Linked DNA regions of Pelodiscus sinensis. The protein of the gene in region 1 interacts with the protein of each later gene in a pairwise test. Links are inferred from orthologs where the notes say so. Each region holds a gene or a part of one and is shown on either strand. Other genes may lie near its edges.

Evidence for each region. The genes of interacting proteins can lie anywhere in the genome.
Region 2: the proteins of ALAS1 (region 1) and POLDIP2 interact in binary tests that used the Homo sapiens proteins (3 or more experiments, as listed by UniProt). The two-hybrid records come from large-scale screens. The link is inferred for Pelodiscus sinensis from reciprocal best matches to the Homo sapiens genes ALAS1 and POLDIP2.

Annotation. Positions count from the first base shown.
Region 1 is NC_134721.1:42,255,564-42,260,144, reverse strand, and holds the start of ALAS1 (5-aminolevulinate synthase, non-specific, mitochondrial), read right to left. Parts: upstream 3,071-4,581; 5' UTR 2,913-3,070; intron 2,331-2,912; 5' UTR 2,314-2,330; coding exon 2,091-2,313; intron 617-2,090; coding exon 398-616; intron 1-397.
Region 2 is NC_134731.1:416,432-421,012, reverse strand, and holds the start of POLDIP2 (polymerase delta-interacting protein 2), read right to left. Parts: upstream 2,947-4,581; 5' UTR 2,860-2,946; coding exon 2,702-2,859; intron 2,236-2,701; coding exon 2,154-2,235; intron 1,748-2,153; coding exon 1,650-1,747; intron 1-1,649. Other genes in the region: vacuolar ATPase assembly protein VMA12, read left to right, coding at 3,073-3,268. UniProt on the Homo sapiens protein: Involved in DNA damage tolerance by regulating translesion synthesis (TLS) of templates carrying DNA damage lesions such as 8oxoG and abasic sites.

The DNA.
Region 1 (4,581 bases):
TTCCTGTCTACACTGGCCCTCTTGCGCAATTATTCTTTTGCAAGAAGGCTTTTTCCCCCGAGCGGGAGTGTGAAAGCATTTGCGCAAGAAGCACTGATTTTGTACATTACAAAGTCAGTGCTCTTGCGCAAATTCAAGTGGCCAGTGTAGACAGCTGGCAAGTTTTTGCCTGCTTTTGCGCAAAATCTTGCCAGTCTGGACGCACCCTCTGAGTATTACAAACAGCACTACATGTGCACATTAAAATTCTTATATTCTACAATGAAGACTTTTTGTTGCAGTGTCCTATGGCCTTCCCTCTGGCCTATAAGATAACTATTGTCAGACTTAGGTTTTATCTCCAGGTATTACAAGAGGCTATATTTCATTGTTTATTGCAGCATACGTAAAAACATACCTTTCCTTACAGCCTGCATTTCATGCACATCCTCTTGGAGTTCTAGGCTGGCTTTGCAGAAAACATTACTATTCCTAGGGTTCATCTGAGCTGCCAGGAAAGGGCATTTAGTGGCAGAGCTCTGGTTAGTGTTCTGGCTAGTAACAGCAGGCGGATGGCCAGTAGGGAGCTGGGATCCATTGGTTTTCTCAGGGGACACATCTTTGGAATTTTTGGCCTCTTAGATAGGAGAAACAAAATAATGGTTAAAAACCAAGAACTGAGGTGACTGGATTGCCTAAAAACAAAAACTCTGACAACTGACGCTAAACCACAAGCTATTCAGAATTGTGCAACTGAACCATCTATACTTGTGTAATCACAAAATATGAAGTGTCAATATCTGATTAGCATTTAAACTCAAGTTTTCTTGAAGTGTTCAGCATTATTGCCTCTTCCCCCTATGTGGAACCAGTATGCTTTGTGTAGGAGTTTAATTTCAACTTCAAACTTTTTCCAGCTGCCCCTTCTCTATTATTTATTATAAATTCTCATCCAGGGTCAATAACAGCCATAAATCATAAGCTGATAACTCCACTGACCTGGATTTGTACCAATTACATAGTTATGGTCAGCAGACCTTTGCTCTCAGACACTGCTCTAGTTTGCAGAGTATGAACAATAGTTTTAAGATAATCCAATTGATTTCTTTGCAAGTATTTGTTAAATTGATAAGCAACACGTGTTAAGAGAAGATTGAACACAACACTTAGAAGTAAACTGGTTCAGGCAGTTACAATTGCCAGACGTTTCCTTCTGGCTGGGCAGTTCCCAGGGTGCTTAAAGTTCTTCCTCTTCTACTTAAGCAGGAAGCTTTTATTACATAAGTCAAAGGTTGTTATTGTGAAAAACTACTGAATAAAAATGGCACCCTGCAAATGTTACAGAACAAGTAACCCTATCATCATTAAATGCACGTTAAAAGGATGGAATATTATATAATAATGTACCTAGGATGCAAATTAGCTATCAAGAGCTGATTATATCCATTTAATGTTGCCCTGTAATAATTTAATGTATGCTTAGCAAATGCCCCAGGGACCCAATTCATTTTTATCTTATTGCATACCTTTTCACCGTTGCTTCGCAGTAAGATAGCAATGTTATAGCATACTCTGCATTCCTAGTTTTTGGAAGGTGGTGTGTTTTTCAAACAGCTAGGTTCCACCTCCCACAATTTCCCTTTCGGTTGTTCAGTGTGCATTACATACCGTAGCTGTTTTCATTTACACTTCTATTGCATTAGAAGACATACAAGATTTGGATGAATTACAAAATCCAAAAGTCAGAATTCCAAACTCATAACCCTATTCCAAGTGCAACACTGAATCGTACAGGATTAAGTAGTTTTCTTTCAAAGAAAAGCTTAACAAACCAGACAGACCAGTCTTTAAAAACAAACAAAAAATCCCAACACACCCTGAGGCATTTGAATGAGTATATAAGCAATACAGAGTAAGAACAACAGCGAGATATTTACTGGTAAACTTTTTTGGGTTTTCACGCCACTCATTGAGAGAGCAAAATCAGGGGCAATTTAGAGGTTCTAACCTCTCCTAGCCCTATAAATGAAAGGAAAATGTTGGGAGCTAGTATTAAACAATCTAAAAAGCCTTATGGTGAGGAAGCTTTATTTTACCATAATTTTAAGCACCTGAAAGACAAAATTGACACTGACTGTCATTAGGTGGAGTTGTTTCTTCGGCCTGTTGGCAGTGAGCAACTGAAGTACCCAGGGCACGGGAAGCAGGCTTAGTCCCAACCTCCATCATTTTAGGGCAGCTCTGAGCGTAAAAGAGCAGCGACTTGCCAGCCTTCTGCAGAAAAGCCTGGGATACCCGTGACAGGAACGGGCAGCGGCGAACAACAGTTTCCATTTTCGGGTGTTTGGATCCTGTAGCAAGATGCAGAAACGGCAACAGCGTTAGATAATGTCTTACCTACAAGACTGCCAGGTTGCATAACACACACAACAATCAAGCCCCCGCGGGGGGAAAGCCGCGCAGTGGCAGCCCCGCGGTGCGATGAATGAAGCAGAGACCCAGGGAGCGATCAGAACCAGGGTGGGCGATGAGGGGGCTGCGCTCCAGGCTGCCCACAGGAAGGGGCGGGAGGGGGAGCGTTTAAAGGGGCAGCTGCAGGGAACGGACTGACCGGGAGGTTACTGCGATGGGCGGGCTCAAGCATTCCCCCCCCCCCCCCCATTTACTTGGTGCTCGCACCCGGGGCCGGCCCCGCGCGGGGGGGGGGGGGAGGGGGAGGGTGCCCGGCAACGCCGAGGGGCAAACGGGGTTTCCCAATGTCGGGGGGGGGGGGCAGCGAGACCCCTCCCCGGTTTCAGCGGGGCGGGTCCCCGGGCGGGGGGCCCGAGCGCTGCGGACCGGAGCCGGCAGTCGGGGAACCCGCCCCCCTGCCCTGCCCTGCCCGGGCGAGCCGCGGCCGGAGCGCTCTCCCCCCAGCCCGGGGCCCCACTCGCCTCGGCCGCTTGTCCGGCTGCTCCTGAGTCCCTCCGCGAGCGCCTCAGGCCGCCGCTCCCTATATAACCACCCCGCGCTCCGCGCAGGCGCACAACAGGACGACTGCCCGCTGTCCCCCTGCCCGGACACACAGCGGGAGCGCACGCGCGTCGACGCCTACCTACGCTATGACGCTCGCGCTCGCCCCCTCGCCCCGCCCCCCTCCCCCGGCCTGCGCGCTCGGGGGGCGGGGCCAAGTGACGCAGCGCCGTTTGGGGGCGGGGCAGACCGAGGGAACGGAAGGCGCCTCGCGCCTGCCCAGGAACGGGGCTGAGGAGAAAGCTCTCGCTGCGGGCGCCTCGCCCCGGGCCGGCTGGAGCAACACGAGCCCCTGGCGCGGCAGGGCCTGGCTCGGGAGCCCGCAGGCCCCTTCCTGCCGTGCCCCGGCCCGCGGGACTCAGCCTTTGCCTGGCAGTGGGGCGGGGCGTCATACAGGCAGCTCCCTGCTGAGAACGGGTCTGGGAATCGCCCCCCCGGCTAGGGCCCCGCTGCCCCCTTCCCGGGGCATGTTTGGGGGAGAGGCTGGGCTCAGGGCCCGCTTTACTTAGGGTACGTCTGGAGGACAGGCTCTGGGAGCGTCTAGACTACCCCCCCTCCCCCCCGCTGCGACAGAGCAAGCTCTTTGCCGCCCGCACAGTGTGGATGCACAGGACAGTGTAGCTGCTCGAACGCCTTCTGTCGCCAGACCTCCCTGCGCAACAGGCGTTATTCCTCGTAGAATGGGGTTTCCTGCCGAGTTATGTCGACGGGACTGGGCGGTAGTGTAGCGACAGGTATAGTTTTGTCGACAGAAGTCCACATTTCTTGACAAAACCCTGTAGTCTACACACACCCTAACTGCGAAAGGGAGACAGCTCTGTGAGCATGGACAGTGCAAGCGCTGCTGCTAGTCACTAAAGGGTTTGGAATTTCAGGGTGAAAGATGTTGGGGACAGATACTTGTCTTCTCCCACCAAACTATCCCATCAGCCACGTGTAGATCTAAGATTGGACAGCAAGACACACAGGTGGAATATGGCACCTGACCCTACTGCCAGGTAGGCCTATGTACTGGAGGGAGATAGTCACCTTCTATTAAGTCCAGATCACAGATGCAGGAAGAGTGGGAAGCTATTTGTTGAAGATTAGTTATAGAAATGTAGCTGTGTTAGTCCTGTTTCTTGTTTCAGCTACATCAGACTATGTAGCACTTTAAAGACTAACAAGATGGTTTATTAGGTGATGAGCTTTCGTGGGTCAGACCCACGAAAGCTCATCACCTAATAAACCATCTTGTTAGTCTTTAAAGTGCTACATAGTCCTGTTTTTTGTTTGTTGAAGGATTGTTATCTTTGCTTGTACTGTTACTTCTCATGTCCTTCCATCCCTAGTGCAAGACACTGCCGTACTTATTACATGTAGGGATTTTAAGTCCTTTGACTTTTTTTTAAAAAGCACTAGAGCCATGCCAAATACTATTTACTTCTGCTGTGACACTCCTCCCAGTCCTCAAATATGAGATATTTTCATTTTGAATTATGCTTCAGGAAAAATAACATTTATCATGAATACCCGGATCTTTATTGTTTACCTCACTCACATTACAGCTAATGTAAGCAAGACTTTGGTTTGTTCAAACATTGATACTTA
Region 2 (4,581 bases), on another chromosome or scaffold:
ACCCCACAGAGATAGTGCTGGGGGGGGGAACCGGGTTTCAAACCAGCTGCCTTTCCCCCATTCTTACTGCCTCTCTGACAGAGGCATCAAGGGGGGGCAACTAGCTGAGTCACAACTTGAATACCCGATAAGCATGTTTATTGAGTAGTTGACTAGTCGCTTACATCCCTACATGATTACACACACCAGCAGCAAGTTGGTACATAAAGGGGGAATAAGTTGTGTCACACATCAGGATGCATTTCTGATATGGATAAGGTATAAACAGTTGCTACCAGCAACAATTTCATTCTTAAAGAAAAAGTAGGTTGTGAATACACTTCAGGATCTCCAGTCACTCCATTTCAGTCAATATGAGTAGAGCCCTGTGGGGATACAAATTTTGTATCTAGAACTGCAAATTTGTGGATATCCACAGCTCATTTTTGCAGATAAAACTGTGTATCTGCATCCACATCTGCAAAAATGAGCCACAGATATCCGTGGATTTGCAGGACTCTAAATGTGAGATTCACACCACCTACATATGCAGCAATAAATTATGAGCAATGTCCCCTCCCCCCAAAAACAACAATGTCAGTGGCATGATAGCTCCAATTTACAGAGACTGAGACGAGTCCCACTAATCAGTTAGGCTTCTTATTTGGGTTCATGCTTTCACTCCACCCTTATTTTCAGTGTGTTCACTCCTCAGTCCTCCCCATATCAACCAAGATTCACTTGCAGGGTTCATTAGTTGCATTTAGAGACAGGTGAAAGACAAGGAGGCTCCATCTCTGAGGAGGCTCAACTGAACTTAGCTTGCCAAGAATGGAGACAAAATGAACTAGCTCAAATCACTAGGAACCAATACAGCAACCTGCATCTAAATCCACCTCAAAGAGCTAAGGATATTTTTCTTAACATTCTACCACTATTTCCTGAAACCTTTGTCCCATCTTTTAAATGAGTCTACATTAATACCAAAATAGCTTCTTTTATTATGAACACATTTCTCCCAGTTTGGTGCTCACTAGGGCCATAATAGTGTATTCAACAAAACAACCAATAAGCCGGTGCTTATTGAGTAACGCTATCAACTACACACAACACTCCTCTCCCCCCTCACAAGTAAATTTTTTAGTGAGCTGGCCAAGAGGTTGGCTCAGTCCCAACTCACACTGGGACCTAGCATCAACCCTCACTGCAGCTCTGTACTACAAGCACTAAGAGCTGGCGTGCGTGCAGGCTGGCTCAGTCCTGGCTCATGCTGGGACCAGCATCAACCCCTGTGCTGGCTCTTAGGGTACATCTAGACTACATGCCTCTAGCAACAGAGGCATGTAGATTAGACTACCCGGCATAGGAAAATGAAGCGGCGATTTAAATAATCGCCGCTTCATTTAAATTTACATGGCTACCGCACTGAGCCGATCGGCTGTTCGTCAGCTCAACGCGGTAGTCTGGACGTTCCGCGGTGGACATCAAAGATATTTGTCAACCTCCCAGGTATGCCTCATCCCAGTTTTTGTTGACTACACAATTAACAAATTACTCACTTCTTAACACCCACTTGAGGCTTTGCCCCACTCTTTCCTAAAACCTCAGAGCAGGAAAAACAGTAAAAGGCTTAAATATAACAACAGCATGGGAAAAAGCCAACTCCTTACTTTTCTGGAACAGGAGAAGCAACATCCCGATCATACAACCTGGCTTGCCAGGGAAACAGAACTATTCCTCGATATCCAAATACACTGTGAAGAAATAGCTGAAAGGGGAGGGAAAATCATAAACTTCAGTCCTGTGATAATTCACAGCCAATAGACTAAAACCCATGAACAATAAAGGAAAGGACGAACCACCTCACATTTCTAAGCAGGCAGCATTTTATTTTTATTATGCAGGAAGAAGCAGCACGATATGGACACAACCTAGATTGATGGGGCAGGAGAGAAGAAAGAATCCAAGCCTCACTCCATTGCAGGGCTCTAGAGGAGAGCGGAGACAGCACAGGGTGCCCAGCGGGCTTAGGGGGCGATAACTGGGAATGCGGCCAACGAAAGGCGCGGGGCGCGGCAGCCCTGTGGGCTCGGCAGAGGCAGCAGGTTCCAGCCGCTGCGTGGCACCTTCAGTATCGCGGGCAGGAGCAGCGCGCTCGGCGCGGCCCCGCCTACCTGGCCCGTTTCGTATTTGCCGTGCTGCCTGGGCACCTCGAACACCCCCACGGTCTCCAGCACTTTGCCTTCGGCCCGGTGCCTGCGGGGAGACCGGCAGCCGCTCAGGCCGGGCGCGCGGGGCAGCCCCACAGTCCGCCCCCCCCCGGCCGGCCCCCCCAGCCCCAGCTTCGCCCCGCCCCCCCGCCCCCCGCTTCCTCCCGGCCCCCCCCCCAGCCCCAGCTTCGCCCCGCCCCCCCGACCCCCGCTTCCTCCCGGCCCCCCCCAGCCCCAGCTTCACCCCGCCCCCCCGACCCCCGCTTCCTCCCGGCCCCCCCCAGCCCCAGCTTCACCCCGCCCCCCCGACCCCCGCTTCCTCCCGGCCCCCCCCGCCCCAGCTTCGCCCCGCCCCCCCGACCCCCGCTTCCTCCCGGCCCCAGCCCCAGCTTCGCCCCGCCCCCCCGACCCCCGCTTCCTCCCGGCCCCCCCCAGCCCCAGCTTCGCCCCGCCCCCCCGACCGGCCCCCCCCAGCCCCAGCTTCGCCCCGCCCCCCGCTTCCCCGGCCTCACCTGGACGAGAGAAGGCGGCGCGGCGGCGGCCAGGCCCCGGCCCCCCCCGCACACAGCGCCCGCAGGCCGTGGCTCGCGGCCGCCCGGGGCGGCAGGGCCCGGGCCCGGCACCCGCTCAGAGCCGCCACCAGGTAGCGCCGCGCCGCGCAGCCCGACATCCCGCGCGCCGAGGCGGGGACAACGGCGGCCGAGCCCTGTCACCACCACCAGACCACAATGCACCGCACCATGGCGAACCCTGCCGGTTGCGCAACGGCCGCCTTCCCAGCGTCCTTTGCGGCCGGCATCCTTCCCCTCCCCCGAAGCCCGCTCGCCATGATTGATCCGGAATGCCCTGGCCTATGGTCATGTGACCGCCCGCCCTGTTCAAGATGGCGTCCTCCATGCGCGTCGGGGAGCGGCTGGCGCGGGCGGCAGCCTCCGCCAGCGGGGAGCTCGAGCGGCTTCCCCTGGAGCTGCGGGCGGAGCTGGAGGCGGCCTTGGCCGCCCAGGCCGACGGGCGTGGCCCCGGCCTCCTCGTCCCCTTCAGCCTGCTACGGAAGTTGCAGGGCGCCCTGCGCCAAGCAGGTAAGAGACGCCCCGGGGCCGGGGCCTGCGGCTGCGCTGACTGTAGCCTCGGCCGCGACCCTTCCTGGCGGAGCCTCCAGCCAGCGCAGCCCCTGGACGATCACGACGAGGACATTTGCTTCCATCCAAAGATCTTGAAAGGTCCCCAAAGCATTGTTGGCAAGGCGTGGACAGTGTTACCTGCTGCAAAGTGGGGACCTTTGTATGAATGATAAATCTATGCAACAGAGCCTGCAACCAAATTATGCTTTTGTAAACTCTTACAACCTAAGGGCTTTGGTTTCTTCGACCATGGGACTCTGTTCCAGGCACAAGGATTGTTAGGAAGAGATGGGATCCACTTAACCAAGAGAAGAATGAGCATCTTCGAGGGCAGGCTTGCAAACCTAGCGAGGAGGCTTTAAACTAGGTTCATTGGGGGACTGTGACCCAAGCCCTGAGGTAAGTGAGGAAGTCAGATACCGGGAAGAAACACAAGGAGGAACAAGCAACAAAAGAGGATCCCTGATTTGAATGAAGAAAGTAGGGCGATCAGCTGGTTATCTAAGGTGTTTGTACACAAATGCGAGAAGCCTGGGAAATAAACAGGAAGAATTAAAAGCCCTGGCCCAGTTGAAGAACTATGATGTGATTGGAATAATGGAGACTTGGTGGGATGACTTGAATGACTGGAGCACTGTTATGTGAGGAGGCGTTACACTGTATGTAAGAGAGCAGTATGATTGCTTGGCACTCCAGTATTTTGAGGAAGAAAAGACTATTGAGAGTATATGGATTAAGTTCAGAGGTGGAAGCAACAGGGGTGAGGTTATGGTTGGTGTCTGCTATAGACTGCCAGATCAGGTGGATGAGATAGAGGAGGCTTTCTTTGGACAGCTGAGAGAAGCTTCCAGATCACAGGCCCTGGTTCTCATGGGCGACTTTAATCACCCTGACATCTGTTGGGAGACCAATACAGCAGTACACAGACAATCCAGAAAGTTTTTGGACAATGTTAGGAATAGCTTCTTGGTACAAGTGCTGAAGGAACCAACCAGGGGCCATGCGCAGCTTGACCTGCTGCTCACAAACAGAGAGGAACTAGTAGGGGAAGTAGAGGTGGGTGACAACCTGGGAAGCAGTGATCATGAGATGATAGATTTCAGGATCCTGACCAAAGGAAGAAAGGAGAGCAGCAAAATACACACCCTGGACTTCAGAAGAGCAGACTTTGACTCCCTCAGAGAACTGATGGGCAGGATTCCCTGGGATGCTTACATGAAGGGGAAAGGAGTCCAAGAGAGCTGGCAGTATTTTAAAGAAGCCTTACTCAA